Ovis aries: one gene and its partners. The protein of the gene in region 2 purifies or fractionates together with the protein of the main gene of each other region. This does not show direct contact. Links are inferred from orthologs where the notes say so. Each region holds a gene or a part of one and is shown on either strand. Other genes may lie near its edges.

Evidence for each region. The genes of interacting proteins can lie anywhere in the genome.
Region 1: the proteins of histone H2AX (region 2) and small ribosomal subunit protein eS10-like purify together in Homo sapiens (co-immunoprecipitation; 3 studies listed by BioGRID and IntAct, counting the BioPlex papers as one, with this or other methods). This does not show direct contact. The link is inferred for Ovis aries from reciprocal best matches to the Homo sapiens genes H2AX and RPS10.
Region 3: the proteins of histone H2AX (region 2) and GON4L purify together in Homo sapiens (affinity purification with mass spectrometry; 3 studies listed by BioGRID and IntAct, counting the BioPlex papers as one, with this or other methods). This does not show direct contact. The link is inferred for Ovis aries from reciprocal best matches to the Homo sapiens genes H2AX and GON4L.
Region 4: the proteins of histone H2AX (region 2) and KAT5 purify together in Homo sapiens (affinity purification with western blotting; 3 studies listed by BioGRID and IntAct, with this or other methods). This does not show direct contact. The link is inferred for Ovis aries from reciprocal best matches to the Homo sapiens genes H2AX and KAT5.

The regions. Positions count from the first base shown.
Region 1 is NC_056060.1:9,438,591-9,442,015, forward strand, and holds small ribosomal subunit protein eS10-like, read left to right. Parts: upstream 1-2,135; 5' UTR 2,136-2,175; coding exon 2,176-2,673; 3' UTR 2,674-2,720; downstream 2,721-3,425. UniProt on the Homo sapiens protein: Component of the 40S ribosomal subunit. The ribosome is a large ribonucleoprotein complex responsible for the synthesis of proteins in the cell.
Region 2 is NC_056068.1:29,402,310-29,406,406, reverse strand, and holds histone H2AX, read left to right. Parts: upstream 1-1,769; 5' UTR 1,770-1,842; coding exon 1,843-2,274; 3' UTR 2,275-3,078; downstream 3,079-4,097. Other genes in the region: DPAGT1 (UDP-N-acetylglucosamine--dolichyl-phosphate N-acetylglucosaminephosphotransferase), read left to right, coding at 1-84, 251-406, 490-555; HMBS (porphobilinogen deaminase), read right to left, coding at 3,691-3,981. UniProt on the Homo sapiens protein: Variant histone H2A which replaces conventional H2A in a subset of nucleosomes. Nucleosomes wrap and compact DNA into chromatin, limiting DNA accessibility to the cellular machineries which require DNA as a template.
Region 3 is NC_056054.1:105,864,278-105,869,405, forward strand, and holds the start of GON4L (GON-4-like protein), read right to left. Parts: upstream 3,006-5,128; 5' UTR 1-3,005. UniProt on the Homo sapiens protein: Has transcriptional repressor activity, probably as part of a complex with YY1, SIN3A and HDAC1. Required for B cell lymphopoiesis.
Region 4 is NC_056074.1:40,317,476-40,322,354, forward strand, and holds the start of KAT5 (histone acetyltransferase KAT5), read left to right. Parts: upstream 1-1,874; 5' UTR 1,875-1,890; coding exon 1,891-2,068; intron 2,069-2,395; coding exon 2,396-2,464; intron 2,465-2,550; coding exon 2,551-2,687; intron 2,688-2,974; coding exon 2,975-3,130; intron 3,131-3,219; coding exon 3,220-3,294; intron 3,295-3,394; coding exon 3,395-3,469; intron 3,470-3,802; coding exon 3,803-4,051; intron 4,052-4,132; coding exon 4,133-4,222; intron 4,223-4,879. UniProt on the Homo sapiens protein: Catalytic subunit of the NuA4 histone acetyltransferase complex, a multiprotein complex involved in transcriptional activation of select genes principally by acetylation of nucleosomal histones H2A and H4.

The sequences.
Region 1 (3,425 bases), on a different chromosome or scaffold from region 2:
AGGTGAATAGTCACAGGGATAGAGGATGGGAAGAGCTCCTTTATGATTCTGCCACCCAGAAGTCAGAAGGTGTGGTTTTAATATCAGCTCTGCCTCCTACTGATGGCCTGAAGGCTTCCACCCTCTCATCTTGATGTTACTACTTTTCTCTGTAGTTCATTCCATCCTGACCTCCCTCTTCTTCTGCTAAGAAGTCCATGACGTTGCCTTCCTGTTGCTCAGCCTGATCCCTTCTCTCCATTCCTCCAATATTGGCAAGGTTCTTGGTTCTGAAGTGAGCTTCTTTCTTTCCTCATGTGACACAGAGCTATCTCTTCTCAGTATCTTGCTGCATTTCTAGTGATAATAGCTCTTTATTTAGTTTCCTCTCTATTACAGATTTTCTCTCCCTAGGAATTGAGCATGAGTTTCTGAGGGCTGCATGGGAAGGCAATCAAGTGCTCTGTCTCCTGCTGTATCCAGATTTGTCCTCCTTCTCAGACCTCAGCCGTGGGTTCTCCCATCCCCTCCCCTGGGCAGAACACTTTCCCCACCAAGTACATTGCCTGTCAGAGGATAAAGGAATACTTTCTGCTCCCCAGTGGGGTCAGGGCCTCAGGCCCAGGGGCTGGCTGTCAACATCTCCCACTATTCTTCCCAAGATGTTCCTTCAGTCCTCTTAAAGCTGTGCTCTGGTGAGCCCATCTACAGGCCACCCTGACGTGTTGAGACCTGTCTGAGTTCTCAACTTCTCAACTTGAGCTAATGCTCTGGGACCCTCACTCCACTGGTTTAGAAATTACTGGACTTGATTACAATCTCACATCACTAAATCTCCATTGAGTTTAGTTTTCAAATTCATTTGTGTACCAAACTACAATTTAATCAGGAAACTGGTTTAATACCCTTGTGAAAACATGATTAGTTTCTTTGGAATCTTGCCTAACCGAGTAGACGTTTTCTGTTTTTATTTCATGACCACTTTTTCCTGTTGCCCTTTACAGTGAAAAGTGGGTGACAAAGCAGGCAATAAGAAGAGAAATAATTAAAAAAAATTTTTATCTAGAAATTTCATTGTTCTTAAACAAATCTCTTTAGAAATTTTCCCTACAGTTTTTATGTACTATGATAAAATGTAGCAGCTATGGCAAAGCTTCAGCAGGTATGGTAAAAACTGTTATTAACAAGCCAAGTGATACAAAGAGATCAGAAAAGCTGTTAGGTGAGTGCCAACCTCACGTGAGCGAAATTTCTTTTTTAACCCTATTTATACATCTATTCATGCAATCATTTAGTTTTCAGATTATACCAGATACTGTTCTGGGTATCAAGGCTGTGAATGATCAAGATGTGGTGTGTGCCCCGGAGGGATATATAATCTAAAAAAAAGACAACGATGTGTCAGGTCTTACAGAGATGGTTGATGCCCAGGTCATATTCCTTTGGCCACCTCTGACTTGAGCTGTGGTAGACAGTAACCAAGCATGTTAAAGGCTCCTCACCACTGTCTCAGTTTTAAAGCTACTTGAATGCATATGGTGTGTGTGTGTGTGTGTGTGTGTGTTGAATGCCCCACAGAAAATCCCAACCAATTCCCACTGGAATTCAGCCCCAGTTACCCACAGTTGTAAACTGCATAATGATTCTTCCTTTACTGCCTTCCCTGGTGGCTCAGAGGTTAAAGCATCTGCCTCCAATGCGGGAGACCTGGGTTTGATCCCTGGGTTGGGAAGATCCCCTGGAGAAGGAAATGGCAATCCACTCCAGTATTCTTGCCTGGAGAATCCCATGGACGGAGAAGCCTAGTAGGTTACAGTCCACAGGGTCGCAAAGAGTCGGACACGACTGAGCGACTTCACCTCACCTCACCTGACTTTCTCTCTTTGTCTGTCTCATTGTTCCTCTCTCTCACTCTGGCTTCCTGGGAATACCAACAGGCTACATGTACTCACAGATTCCGATTTTGATAGAACCCGATTCTGGTAGTACCAGTACAAAGTAATATTTTTGTTGCTGTCCAGTTGCTAAGTCATGTGTGATTCTTTGAGATCCCATGGACTGCAGCATGCCAGGCTTCTCTGATCATCATCTCCTAGAGTTTGGTCAAACTCATGTCCATTGAGTCAGTAATATCGAGTTGGCCAAAAAGTTCATGGGGCCTTTCCAGCGCCGGCCCCGGACACAGCAACCGTCGCGATGTTGATGCCCAAGAAGAACAGGATTGCCATTTATGAACTCCTTTTTAAGGAGGGGGTGATGGTGGCCAAGAAGGATGTCCACATGCCCAAGCACCCGGAGCTGGCAGACGAGAATGTGCCCAATCTTCACATCATGAAAGCCATGCAGTCTCTCAAGTCACGAGGCTATGTGAAGGAACAGTTTGCCTGGAGACGTTTCTACTGGTACCTCACCAACGAGGGCATCCAGTATCTCCGTGATTACCTCCACCTGCCCCCTGAGATCGTGCCCGCCACCCTGCGCCGCAGCCGTCCTGAGACTGGCCGGCCACGGCCCAAAGGTCTGGAGGGAGAGCGACCTGCAAGACTCACGCGAGGGGAAGCCGACGGAGACACCTACAGACGAAGCGCCGTGCCCCCTGGTGCCGACAAGAAAGCCGAGGCCGGAGCTGGGTCAGCAACTGAATTCCAGTTTAGAGGCGGATTTGGTCGTGGACGTGGTCAGCCACCTCAGTAAAGTTGAAAGGGGTTGTTTTATGTTGAATAAACCTGTAAACAGAAAAAGTTAAAAAAAAAAAAAGTTCATGGGGTTTTTCTGTAGCATCTTAAAGCATCTAATATCTGTAGATGATGAAGATATACACAGAGTTCTCTTGTTTTGCAGAGGATGGGGTAATTAACACCCTGGGTAGGAGTTTCCAGGAGAGACTATTGCAGGAGCCAAGGAAAGGGAGAAATTAGAAATTGATAGTTAAAAGATAAGTGTTTCCAATGTCTTTAACTATAGCTCAGTATGAGATAGTTCTGGGATGATATAATAGAGGTACTTTGCATATCTCCTGTTATGTGCACGACTTTTACTTGTCTGAGCCTTTCTGGACTTTTTAGAGGAGTGAATGATGAGAAGTTGGAGCTAATACTCAGCTCTCAGACTAAGAAGATTTCAGAACTAAGAATAGGAAGAGTGCTATGCTTTGACCTTTGAAACCAACCCTGGATCAGAGAGGATACTTCAAGGTAGGAGAAGGTCTAGAGATAATAGTTGCGGTCATGGATAAAAGGACAGTTTGCTTGCAACACTGTGTGTGGTTTTCTACTGTTTTGTAACCAAGCTCCTCGGAGAATGTGCGCCAGGTTCCATGAGAGAAGGACTGTGAAAATTTAAAGAGAGGGTCAGAGGAAAAAGCCGTGATTTGTCAAATCATTGTAAAAAGAAAAAACAAAACTCTAAGATTAGGAGAGACTTCCTGGAAGGCCCATTCTCCAGGA
Region 2 (4,097 bases):
AATACCAAGACAGGCAAACTGGAGATGAGCTATTCCAAGTTCAAGACCAAGAGCCTCTCTTTCTTGGGCACCTTTATTCTAAAGGTAACAGGGTAACAAGGAGGTAAGGCTCTAGGCTGCCATTCTGAATTCAGGGAATGGGAAAACCTAGGCCTACATCAGACCTGAGGGGAGTTTGCAAGCATTCAGCAGATCCCATTCCTGAAGCATAAGTATTAGCAAAAGTTCTCTCCACCTTTGGCCTCTCCAGGTAGCAGAGAACCTTGGGCTACTGACGGTGCGCCACAGTGAGAATGAGGATGGTGCCTTCACTGAATGTAACAACATGACCCTCATCAACTTGCTACTTAAAGTCTTTGGGCCCATGCATGAGAGAAACCTCACCCTCTTCCTGCTGCTGCTACAGGTGCAATGCTATTGGGGGTGTGGTTTACACTTCCTTGTCTCCCTCTCTCCAGGGTTCTTACTATAGTTCGTTTCTCCTTGCAGGTCGTTGGTAGTGCTGTCACCTTCTCCATTCGGTACCAGCTTGTCCGACTCTTCTATGATGTCTGAGGCCCCGATCCATTGCCCTTTGCTTCACAGCCTCCGGGGTTACTGACTCAGGCCAACATCTCCTGGACCAAGACTGCCAACTAGCCCAGGCCTCTCCCACCCTTCATTTTCCTCCAGATTTTGTTCTCAGCATTTCCTTTCCCCTGTGATTATTGACACGTGGGCCTGTCTCACTCTCTAATGACTGGTGATTGGACTTTGCCTATGGCTTTCTTCAGCTTGCCACTCTCCCTCTCCATCCCATCTTTGCTGCCTCCTAAGTTGGGGTACTGTAGCTTTTATGCAATTGCCCACAACTCTGACACTCAAGGAGAATGCTGGACTTGGGGACAGAACCCTGGCTGGGGATAGAGACACAGGTTCAAAGGTGACTTGACATTTGACTATAAATTAAGTATTCTGATGATTAAGAGCAGACCGGGGGCCAGGTGCTCCCAGTGGTGACAATAAAGTATTGTCTTTTTCTTCTTGTTCCTATAGGTATATTTCCTATGTGGGCATTGTAGGGTGGATGGGGAAGGTTGAAGGAGGTATTTCCTCGGAGAGGATGCCTATCTCTGTCCCATCCTTTTTTCTTTCTTTCTTTTTTTTTAAGCACATCAGGCGCCTCCTAGCAAGAAGTGATCAGAAAGAACAGACCAGACAGAACATGTTGAATAAATGTGAAATCTGCTGCTTGGGTGGCATAAAGGGCCATAAGATTGGGGTTATCTGTTCTCTGGGGTAGGGTTGGACTTTAAGTGGGGGTCTCATTCCTTCCCTTTTTCACTCTTCTTTTGCCAGGTAGGAGGAGGGAGTGACCAGACCTAGGACGGGAGGCAGAGGTAGTTGTGGTGTTGACTCTTTTCCTTTAAAAATCTTAGGCCTGCCTTGCGCAGACTTCCCAGACGCTCTTGAGGTGGCTTCCGATTCTACCCTTCTTGTCTTCCGGTTCTGGTCTCGGGCTATAGCGTTTAAATCTGGCGCGCTTCACTTGGATTGGCTACAGCCGAGACTGGCTGGCTGTCGGGTAGTCTCTGCGCCTCCTCCCGTGTTCCCCGGGCAAAGGGTTTTCAAATTCGGCCAATCGGCGGACGCGTTCCCTCAACTGGGGCGCGTCACCGAAGAGTTAACCTCAGCCAACCAGAGGCGGGTATTCGAGAAAAGAGCCAATCAGAAAGGCGCGGGGGTGTGCCCTGAGGGGCTTATAAGGGCAGCCCGTGGTCGCGCGCGGAAGCGTTAGACTGCGGCGGGTGGTTGTTCCTGTGTTTTGTTAGCCGTCCTCACCGCTCCTCTACCTCATACAGCATGTCTGGCCGCGGCAAGACCGGCGGCAAGGCCCGCGCCAAGGCCAAGTCGCGCTCTTCGCGAGCAGGCCTCCAGTTTCCCGTGGGCCGCGTGCACCGGCTGCTGCGGAAGGGCCACTACGCCGAGAGGGTGGGCGCCGGCGCGCCGGTCTACCTGGCGGCGGTACTCGAGTACCTCACCGCCGAGATCCTGGAGCTGGCGGGCAACGCGGCTCGCGACAACAAGAAGACGCGGATAATCCCCCGCCACCTGCAGCTGGCCATCCGCAACGACGAGGAGCTCAACAAGCTGCTGGGCGGCGTGACGATCGCCCAGGGAGGCGTCCTGCCCAACATCCAGGCCGTGCTGCTGCCTAAGAAGACCAGCGCCACCGTGGGGCCGAAGGCGCCAGCGGGCGGCAAGAAGGCCACCCAGGCCTCTCAGGAGTACTGAGGGCGCCCGTGCCGCCACCGCCCAGCCCTCCCCTCTACACCACAAAGGCCCTTTTAAGGGCCACCACAGCACTCACAGAAAGAGCTGGGCCACTTCGGGCTCCCGGCCTGGCGGCCGCGCTGTCGCCCCTTCCCGGCCCGCCCCTCCCCCCCGCGGCTGGCTCCCGCCGAAGCCCGGCGGAGGGCGTGCGTTCGAACGCCGCTCGGCCCCGGGAGCGAGCTCGTGACTCGGCCGGCTTGGCCCCAGAATGCCGATGGGCTGCGGGGAGGCCGCGGCACCTTCCGGAAAGCCGGGCCGGGGAGTGCGGGAGGAAGGTGAGTCGGTGCGGACGGTCGCCGCCGAGGCCGTGCGCTCTGCTTCAGCTCGGTGCTTAGTACAGGACTCGATTGTCGCCGCCGGCGGAGTCAATCGGTTGCTTCATTTCGTCCCAGGACCCCTTTTGTTGCCGGATCTCGGGCCTCGCACGTCCGCGTTCCCTCCATCTTCATTCGCAGGCCTGTGCGCGTACTGGAAGAAACCCTTCGCGGCGTGACCGTCTCCAATACTAGCGGGTCCTGGCGGCGTGGGGTCTGCGGGAGCCCTGCCTCCGGGCCCGCCCCTCCTCCCCACTCCCTTCCCGTCGGGTCCATTCCGCCTGCCAAGCACCTAGATACCAGCACAAGTCCGTTAATCCCCGTCTGGACTGAGCCGCCTTTGGCTTCGGAACTGGAATTTTGCAGCTAACCCATCCAAAACTAGTACTTTAGGTATTGGGGGGAGTTTCAGATGGACTAATTTTATTAAAGGGTTTTTTCCTAAAGAAAAGTGAGTTGTGTTCATTTTGCAAAAGGGTTGTAGAGTCGACTCTGTAGATACCTAAAGGTAGTGGGGGAGGGGAACCGATATAAGGCTTTACTGTTAACTGGAGCGACAAATTGTAGATTATTAAGATGATGGCTTTCTTGGCGTTCCCTGGGAGACACTCGATTCTGTCAAAAAATGGGAACTACTGACAGAAGGCGTTTTTCAGGAGAACTTTGAAAGGGTCCTAGCCTCAGAGATCAGGCATAAATAAAGAGTTTTGAGTTTGTCCTTCCTTTTCTGCAGCTCCACCAAAAACAAAAACCACCTTTAAATTTGGTTTATTAGTAGAACTGGTTACATTCAAAGGCTGTGGCTTCTTATTAAGATTTTTTTTTTCTCTAGAGAGGAAGCCCCCTCCTTGCCTCCTGGGGAGGCAAGGCCCCTCGGTGAGACAAGTCTCTGGAAGTCTCTGCCCCTGCAGTTCAATCCTGTGGGGGTAGCCACTCCTCAGGTAGCAGAGGGCTGGGATGTAGGCACTGGACACCAGCAAGGCAGGCACCTGTGCCCCACAGACCAATTAGTGGGCTTCATTGAGCTGCCGTGCAACATCCAAGATATTCTTGGCTCCTTTGTTCAGCAACAACGTGGCCAGGCTGATGCCCAGGTTCTCAGCAGCCAGCTGGGGTTGTCGTGGAATGTTCCGGGCAGTGATGCCCACCAGCTGTGGATCATCTTCAGGGCCATCTTCATGCTGGGCAAAGGAAGAAGGGTTGGATTTAGTGAGAAGGAGAGGGGAGGTAACAAAGATGTGTTTCCTCCCCCCTGCAGCCTTGGCACCTGGACAGGGACATGGATGGTGGTTTGCATGGTGTCTTGCATGGTCTCTGCGCCATTCAGACTCCAGACTCCTCCAGTCAGGTACAGCTGGGAAAGAAAATGGCTGCCTCAGTAAACTGTAAGAGAACTGCTTAGAAACCTGTGCTCTTCATGCTGGTGGATACACAGGGGAAACGCCAGAGTTCCTTCCCTGCCCTCCCATC
Region 3 (5,128 bases), on a different chromosome or scaffold from region 2:
AAGCCTCAGGCAGGGCGATGCATTAGCTCCTTTTTTCTTACAGTCATTCACAGGTGGGCAGGATCAGATTATATCTCTGTGAGCTAAACAAAGGGCATTTTAATTTAAGAGTCAGGCAGATGGGACACGGTTCTCTGAGGCAGACCATTATATATGCTTATAACAACAAAAGTAGCAAAAACAAGGGTTAAAGTCATAGATCAAGCATGAAGCCAAAATTAACCTTTCCCGGTTATAGGCTCTGGTTTACAAAGGTGAAATCTTTACTTTCTGGCCTCACCATGCAGCTTGTGTTATCTTAGTTCCCCAAGCAGGAATCAAACCTGGGACCCAGAAGTGAAAGTGTCAAGTCCTAACAACTGGACCACCGGAGAATTCCTTGTGAGATCTTTCTTAAGACCCTAGCATCTATCCACCTTGGGTTTCTGGGGTCTGTGAACACAAGAAAACTAAGATGGAAATAAAAGATTCCAGAGTTACATATCTCAAGTTGCTTACTGTTTCCAGAACTGTGTAATCAGACACATTTCACAGTCTATAGAGAATTCTCACATATATACTCATTTGATGCTCATAATACAGAAAATTATGTATAATCATCTGATCACCATTTAACTATTTAAAGACTATCAGTTTAATATCATATCCTTTATTCCTGTGTTTACCCATCATGACAAGAAAATCAGAACTACTGGGATATGCTTCAAGTTCAAACACTTATTCTCAAACATTTCAAATGTTACCTAACCATAGTGGCCTTCCCAGACCACTGTGTATAAAACTGCAACATAATTACTATAAAGCATGATATATTTTTACTGTTTATATATTTTATCATTTTTATAATATATATATTTTTCAATATACAATATACTACTTATTACTTGACTTTCCCCATGAGAATATAAGCTCCAGGAAGGCAAGGATTTTAGTCTTTTATAATTACTACATTCCAATACCTAGAACTCTGCCTGAAACAGCAGGTACTCAATAAACATTTGTTGAACGAAAGCCTATTTTGCATCAGTGAGGAGCAAAGGGCTATGATGTACCTAAGGGCTCCACTGGCAACAATGGTCAAACCCTTCGCTCTACATGGAGAGAACAGGAGTTGGGGAGACCATCTTTTGCAAAGGAGGTGGCTCTCGTGACCCTGGTCTAGGGGAAAGCTATCTATGGAAACAGCCAGGAGTCTGGAACAGGCCTAATCAACACTACCCAAGCCTAGTCTTGCTCTGACCCAGGGATCCTAGTGTGTGGTCTTTGCCCCCCGTCTCTACTTACTAATCCACAGGCCAGTGCTTGCTCAGGCAACAAGAAAGCAGCAAAGTCCTTCAACAGCTGAGGCCAGTCCTGGAGCAGAATTTGCAGGCTCTTGTAGAGATCCACAGCTGTCTGCCTGAGTGCTTGACTCAAACTCATGGATGACCTGAAGAAGTCTTCATACTTGCCAGGGATATGCTGCAGGGCTTCTCGGACCTGTATGAGAGGATTTTCAATCATCCAATCCCTTCTTTGGGCCCTGACAAGAAACAATGGGACCGAGGAAGGAGGAGTTACTGTTAAAGAGCTCCAGATTATCCGTCAGAGGCTACTCCTCTGACAGGTCCTAAGATCTGATGATTAATGGAAGCCACAGGGCCATGAGCAAGGCAGAGCTCTTTTTCTGACAGTGAGGAAAGGGAAAATTTATATTTTCCAGGGACCACAGTGCTACCCACAAAATCAGGTGAACTTTTCTCTAGCTCACAGCCTGGGCCTCCCCTTCCTGGTTTCACCTCCATGTTGAAATAGATAAGGAGTGCTTGGTATATATATTTCAGCATGGTATCATCTGAGGGTAAATAATACGTAAATTAGGAATGTCAGTAAAATATCAGGAGACAAGAAAAACCATGACTATCACTGCTAGGACTCCACTTTGCTGGGAGTATAAAGGAACCAGGTGGTTACGAAAAGAATGAGATAGGGACCGCTGCCACAAACAGGTTGGTTCATGACTCTGAAGATCACTGAGGTCCACTTTCTGGTCAATGTACCAAATGTCTATTTTCTCAAGCCAAGGGCTCAGTTAAAGTCTTTATTAGCCTACCCTCACACTGATGATGGTGGCTATCACCTTTCCTCAGTTTTGTGGCAACAGAGGGGTGGTATCCCTGGGCAGTAACAATAAATCTGTTGATGACTAAACTTGGCGTCCTTGTGGTTCACTCACACAGCTCTTGATATTTCTAGGAAAACAAAGGCAGAAGCATAGAAGGCTGTTGTGCAGTCTAAAAGGCAGACTTCATTTTAAAAACATCTCCCCTGAAGGAAAAGCAGTCTTGTTCAGAGGGGTTGGCAGGAACAGAAAGCAGCATTTGCCTGCCCTGGTCAGATACACCTGAGCAAAGGCCAAATCCTTCCGTTCCTGGAGAGGATCTCACTTGAGGATGCCTTCATCATACAGCAACAGCAGCCTGGAGGTGTCCTTGTTGGCCCGGGCCCAACTGCCCTGCTTGCTGAGAGCTCGATGATTACTCCAGCCCTTTCCAGCAGCTCTGATGCTCTCTCCTTAGCATACAACTGTTTTTCTGTACCTGCAGCCTCTGCTCTCCCCAACCCACCACAGGCACCCCAACTCCATTCAAATCCTATTCAAAATTACATAGGAACTTGGGAGAAAAGCTGCTGGAAAAATGCTATGACAGGTAATGTCTGTCCCCGCCAAGTCAGCTCTGTGGAGTGTTGACGGCATGACTGCATTAACTGGGATAATGAGATGCTTAGCTACTGCATGTTGAACACAGAAGTCTAAGTGTGGTCTGATGCTGGCTCTCAAAGAACTATGTCCTGGTGAGGAACAAGCAGTACTTTCTGAAATAAACATTGCTCTTGGCCTCATACATGACTGATGAATTAAGAACCAGTATAAAACCCTGCATGAACAGAGTACAAATCTAGCAGCTGATGAGAGACAAATTTTTAATTTCTGAGCATCTCTTCTCTGCAGTGGCAGCAGGTTAAACATCTATTTGGGAGTAGGGTGACTGGCAGGCGGGATCCAAAGGATTTCTTCTGGAAACTGGCACCTGTTTTATAAGCCTGTCACTCTGCACATGTCCCTGTGTCAATGAGGCCACCTGAGACCTATCTCCACTCAGGCCTGTCCTACTCACCCTTGATGGTCTTCACTTCTGGAGAGGCCTTCGGGGAGGCACAGGTAACAGATGGCTTCTCGGCAGGGTCTCCAATGGCTTCGTCTATTTTTTCATCCTCTTTCTGCAGGATTTCCATTCTTTCTGCTTCTTCCTGCTTCTCCTTTCTCAGGCTGAGTTCTCTTCTGGGAGTTCTATTCCTCAGACTCACCCTCCTAACTCATGTACTTTTCAGATGTGAACCAAGTCTGTTTCTCCATTGTTTCCTTAAAAACCCCCAAACAGTATGCATGAGGGATACAATGGCTCACCATGGGCTACTTACAGAGTTTTTCAGAAGGGACTGAGGTTAATTAATTGATGACAGAGGTTGGAAGCCAATGGGTTTTTTTCCGGGGATTTTGGAGGTTTTTGTTTGTTTTTTTTTTCTCCTTTTCATTTTCTTGGCCATGCTGTGCAGCTTAAGAGATGTAAGTTCCCTGATCAGGGACTGAAGCCAGGCTCCAGCAGTGAAAGGAAAGTGGCAAGCCCTAATCACTGGACCATCAGGGAATTCCTGAGCAGATGTGTTTTGAAACATCTCCCTGAAGATAACTGTCCTTTGCCAGAGTCCATGCTTATCATCCTTTTTCTATTTTGTGGTTATTTACATTGTGCTCAGGTGATTCAATTTAATGTAAATGAGTTTAAGTCAAATATAATAAGGAACATTTAACTCTTTCCCTCTCCTCTCACAAAAGACAAAAATGATTTTAGGACTATCTCTACTGTAAAAAGCAAGCAGGTAGCCTATCAATAAATTAAATCTATTACTGAATCCACAAAATATTGAAGAATATTGCCCAGCTCTCACCTGGAGTTCCGGGACAGAGGACAGATTCCTCAGAAGCTGATGACACTTCGTCTTCCTGATCCTGGGTAAGGTCGTCAAAGTCCTCTTCTTCCTCTGGCCCATCCTTCTCTTGCAGTTTCTGGCCCAGCTGGTCCCACTGACTGAACATCAACGCTGGATAAGTCTTCAGGCTTCCTTGGGGAAGGAAGCCCCCCTTCCTTGGCGGGCTACCATTTCAGGGTCAGTGGAGGATGAAGTATTCCTTGGGGACCCTTTGCTTACATCTCTTGAATTTCCTACATCAGGAGGCTCATGAGAAGCTGAAAGGATTTTAGGTTGGTGAAAAAGTAATTGTGGTTTCAGACTGTGAATTTTAAATGATTATAAATAGGCTCAAACACACCTTTATTAATCAAAATATGAACCATCACAATCAACACATTTTTGCCAATGACAAATACATTTGTTTATTCTGTAGCATAACAATTCATGCTTCAGTAGTAGAACTCTTGGAAAGCATTTTGTGCCTCCTGCTGGTTATGAAAGCATTTTCCCTGCAAAAAGTTAATGAGATGCTTAAAAAAGTGGCTGTTGGTTGGCGAGAGGTTAGGTGAATATGTGTATGAGGCAAAACTTTATAGCCCAATTTGTTCAGCTTTTGAAGGGTTGGTTGTTCGATGTGCGGTCAGGCATTGTCGTGGAGAATTGGGCCCTGTTGAACTATGGTGACTGCAGGCATTGCAGTTTTTGGTGCATTGTGTTGATTTGATGAGCATACTTCTCAGATGTAACAGTTTCGTTGGGATTCAGAAAGCTGTAGCGGATCAGATGGGCAACAGACCACCAAACACCGTTTGGGTGCAATTTTAGCTCTGGGGAAGTGTTTTGGAGCTTCTTCTCTGTCCAACACTGAGCTGGTCCTCGTCAGCTGTCATATAAAATCCACTTTTCACTACACATCACAGTCCAATCGAGAAATGGTTCATTGTTGTTGCACAGAGTAAGAGAATGCAACACTTCAAAATGACAACCTTTTTTATTTGTGGTCAGTTCATGAGATACCCACTTACTGAGCTTTTCACTGTTCCAATTTGTTTCAAATGCCATATAATTATAGAATGACTGACGCTGAATTCTTTGGTAAGTCTTCCTGTTACCA
Region 4 (4,879 bases), on a different chromosome or scaffold from region 2:
TTCAACAAGAAGAAATTGGTTGTGGCAGATAAGGTGCATAGAGATGGCTGGATGGCATCACTGACTTGATGGACGCGAGTCTGAGTGAACTCCGGGAGTTGGTGATGGACAGGGAGGCCTGGCGTGCTGCGATTCATGGGGTCGAAAAGAGTCCAACACAACTGAGCAACTGAACTGAACTGAAGCAACAAAACACTATGTAGCCATTAAAATAGTGCTCTAGAATGTGAGAAATGTTCGATTTATGTTACTAAGTGAACAAGCTGGTCACAGAACAACAGACACATTAAGAATCTATTTTTGTATTTGATATGTGTTAGTTGCTCAGTCCTGCCTGAACTCTTCGAGATCCCATGGGGAACTCTTTGTGATCCCACAAGGCTCCTCTGTCCATGGATTTCTCCAGGCAAGAATGCTGGAGTGGGTTGCCATTTCCTCCTGCAAGGGATCTTCCCCACCCAGGGACTGAGCCTGTGTCTTCTGCATTGCAGCCAGATTCTTTCCACTTAGCTACCAGGGACACCCTGTTTGATAGCACAATAGAAGGTAAAGCATGGGTTGGCAAACATTTTTTGTAAATGGCCAGACAGTAAATGTTTTAGGCTTTGTGGGCATTCAGCTTTAACGTGGAAGATGTCATAGACAAAATGTCAGTGAATGAGATGGTGGCTATGTTTCAATAAAACATAATTTATGGACCCTGAAATTTGAATTTCAGAATTTCCATGTATCATGAAATATTCTATTTATGTCTCCCCAAGCTTTAAAAAGAGTGTGAAGACCATTCTTTGCCCACTGAGCAGGAAAGCTAGAATAGGGTTGGATTTGCCCTGCAGGCTAGTTTGCCTACCTGGTCATTCCCTGCACCTTGTGTATTTCGTTGTTGCTGTTTCCCAAAACACTTATCACTCTTTAATAGACTAGATAATTTATTTTTAAAATATATTTACTGTTTGTGATCCACACCCCTCTTTTCCCTCTCAGCCTCCAAGAATTCAAGCTCCAGGAGCTGCAAGTTATTTTATTCATTGATGTATCCCAGGCTCCTAGATAAAATGCCTGGGACACGGTAACAGATTATTAAACAGTTGTTGAATGTATTAATCAATTCTAAAAGAAATCATCTCTGACTATTCATGGGAAGGACTGACGGTGAACATGAAAACCCCGATACTTTGGCCACCTGATGCGAAGAAAAGACACTGATGCTGGGAAAGTCTGAGGGCAAGAAAAGGGGAGGGCAGAGGATGAAATGGTTGGAGAGCATCACTGACTCAATGGACATGAGTTTACGCAAACTCCGGGAGATAGGGAAAGACAGAGGAGCCTGGCAGTTCACGGGAGTCACAAACAGTCGACACGACTTAGACGTCTGAACAATAACAACTCGTATAATTAGCAACCTAACATACAAAACAAACCTATAAACCTTCTTCCGTGGACCCCCAACCCTAGGAAAGTCCACAACTTGCGGGGGTCCTGGTGCCCACTTTTCGAAATCCGCCCCTCAACCCCCCAGCCGAGCACACGCAGCTCACTCCCCGTGACGCAGCCTTGACGCCACTAGGAGACGGCCAAGCGGCCGCCCGCTAGGCACAAACACCAATCCCACGTGACCGGCGTCGCACCCGGTGAGCGTCACGTGACTGACTCAGTTTTCCTCCAATCGTTGCACACGTTGTGGGGATTCCATCCAGGACCTGACCTGAGCCTTAAAACACCCTATGCCCCTGCCAGCCAAACTGGCCGGCTCCGTCAGCAAGCTGGGCGGCGGTGTCTCTTAAGAACCTACTAGTAAAGCCGCTTCGGGGAAGACGGGGCCTACAACGTGCTCAGTCCCGGAAGTGACGGCTCCCAGAGGGGCCGGAAGTGGCAGTGGAGGGAGGGAAGATGGCGGAGGTGGTGAGTCCGGTGCCCGGGGCGGGGCGGAGGGAGCCAGGGGAGGTGGGTAGAGCCCGAGGCCCCCCAGTAGCCGACCCTGGCGCCGCGCTGTCTCCCCAGGGGGAGATAATCGAGGGCTGCCGCCTGCCTGTGCTGCGGCGGAACCAGGACAACGAAGATGAGTGGCGTGAGTGACGTCGGGGGGCGGGGCTAAGGAACCTGAGGGCGAGGGGCGGGGGGAGAGTCAACCGAACCCCGGGGAGGGGGTGGGGCCTCTAGAATCCTGGAGCGGGCGGGGCGCAGATACTCAGGAGGGGCGTGGCTTTTAGCCTTTAGAGCTGGTCAGGGCAGGGCTTGAAGAGGGGATGGCACTTGGTGACTAACCGGGGCTTTTGAGAGCGGTTCCAAGTGCTGGGGCTTTAGGGTTCGGGCCTGGTGGTGGAGTTCAGATCGTAGGAGGGTGGAGCTTCATGGCCTGGCCAGTCTAAGGCCCTTGCCTTTGCTGTTCCCACAGCACTCGCTGAGATTCTGAGCGTGAAGGACATCAGTGGCCGGAAGCTTTTCTACGTCCATTACATTGATTGTGAGTTCTGGGCCGGGATGAGGTGGGGCTGGAGGGTTGGGGGGCAGCCTCTGGCACTCCTTCCTGAGCCATACCCACTGCTGCAGTCAACAAACGCCTGGATGAATGGGTGACCCACGAGCGGCTGGACCTGAAGAAGATCCAGTTCCCCAAGAAAGAGGCCAAGACCCCCACTAAGAACGGACTTCCTGGGTCCCGACCCGGCTCTCCAGAGAGAGAGGTGGTGAGTAGGTCCCCTGCTTCACCTCTTCTCTCCTGCCTACTTTTAAAATCTCTTGGCCTCAGTGGCTCCCAGATGGGCGACAGGCTGTGCCCTCCCACCCTGGCTTCAGCTTGTAAAGGATGGGGCCCAGACTGCAGATGTAGCTTCCAGAGTCCAGTGACTGTACCTGTGTCCTTGAGAGGGCAGAGGGTGGGGTTTGATCACTCCATGCCGAGGGGACCCTACTCCCCTTCCCCATCCCACCACCATCCCAGCCCCAGAGGAAGACCCTGGACCTATCTCTACAGCCGGCCTCCGCCCAGGCCAGCGGGAAGACTTTGCCAATCCCGGTTCAGATCACACTCCGCTTCAACCTGCCCAAGGAGCGGGAGGCCATTCCCGGTGGCGAGCCCGACCAGCCGCTCTCCTCCAGCTCCTGCCTGCAGCCCAACCACCGCTCAACGGTACCCTCAGCAATTCCAGGGACCTTGCTTTCCTCTCAGGTCCCACCTTCTCTACCTTCTGACCCACCTGTCCTGGTTTCTCTCTGCAGAAACGGAAGGTGGAGGTGGTTTCACCAGCAACTCCAGTGCCCAGCGAGACAGCCCCGGCCTCAGTTTTCCCCCAGGTGAGTCCCCCAAGCCATCTCTTCTGCCCTCCTACCCTCTGATAGCCCCTTTGGGCTCACCTCACAGCCACTCTTTCTGTCCCTCCACTATCATTTGCAGAATGGATCAGCCCGGAGGGCAGTGGCAGCTCAGCCCGGGCGGAAGCGGAAATCAAATTGTTTGGGCACTGATGAGGTAGGTCTGGGGAGGAGGGAAGGGTGAAACGAAGGGGACATAAGGAGGGCACGGGGTTTAGTGACTACTTTAAAAATGAACAAGGGGTACTGGGCAGAAAGGGTGTTGGAATTAGGGGTGAGGCGGAACTGATTCAGATCCTGCACTAGGTGATCTTTATCACCTTCCAGGTGAAAATCATCCAAGTCTTGGTTTCTTCAGTTGGCAAGTGGGGATTGCAGTACCTCCCCTAGGAGGGTTGCTGTTAGGAAACCTGTGGAAGGGCTGTGAGCTGTGGAGTGTGCTGCTTGCGTTGTCTTCTGTAACCTGGTATCTTTCACGGGCCCTGGGAAGGACTCCCAGGACAGCTCAGATGGAATCCCGTCCGCTCCTCGCATGACTGGGAGCCTGGTATCTGACCGGAGCCACGACGACATCGTCACCCGGATGAAGAACATCGAGTGCATCGAGCTGGGCCGGCACCGCCTCAAGCCCTGGTACTTCTCCCCGTACCCTCAGGAGCTCACCGCGCTGCCCGTCCTCTACCTCTGCGAGTTCTGCCTCAAGTATGGCCGAAGCCTCAAGTGTCTGCAGCGTCACTTGGTATGGGGAGTCCCAGGGGCCACCCTCCTAGCAGCACCCCCTCACCTCCGCCCCTGTGCCTGATCCTCCTCTCTTCCTCAGACCAAGTGTGACCTGCGACATCCTCCTGGCAATGAGATCTACCGCAAGGGCACCATCTCCTTCTTTGAGATCGACGGACGTAAGAACAAGGTCAGGGGCTGAAGGGCAGCGGGAAGGCTTTGGTGCCGGGAGTCTGGGGGAGTTGAGTGAGTAGCTTCTTCCAGCTCCGGAAGACACTGACAGTTACAGGGGACAGATCTCTTCACCGCATTTACTGCATTCTTGCTGTAGGCCGGGTGCTGGTAGATAAAAGTGACCAGGAATTTGACAAAATCTCTGTTCTCTGAGAGCTCACAGGGGAAGACAAACAGGCCAGTAGCAGTTTGGATCCCAGTGTGATATGTTTCATGAGAAAAGTGGGCTGTCAGGATCCCAGGGTGATCAGCAAGGCTTCAAAGAGGAGGTAACCTCTGAACCTTGACACAAGGGTAGGGTGGGTACAGGAATCCCCAGCAGCGGGTTCTGAAGGGCAGGAGTGGACGTACTGGCAGAGCCCAGAGATCCTGCAGGTTCAGTTCTAGACCACTGTGACAAGGTGAGCGTTGAAATAAAGCAGTCACGAGAGTTTTTCTGGTTTCCCAAACTCTATAAAAGTTATATTTATGTTGTGCCATAGTCTATTAAGGGTGCAATAACAGTATCTCAAAAAAATTACAGTGGTAACATCAAAAACCACTGATTACTGTAACAAATACAATAATAATGAATAGGTTTGGAATATTATTGCAAGAATTATGAAAAGGTGAC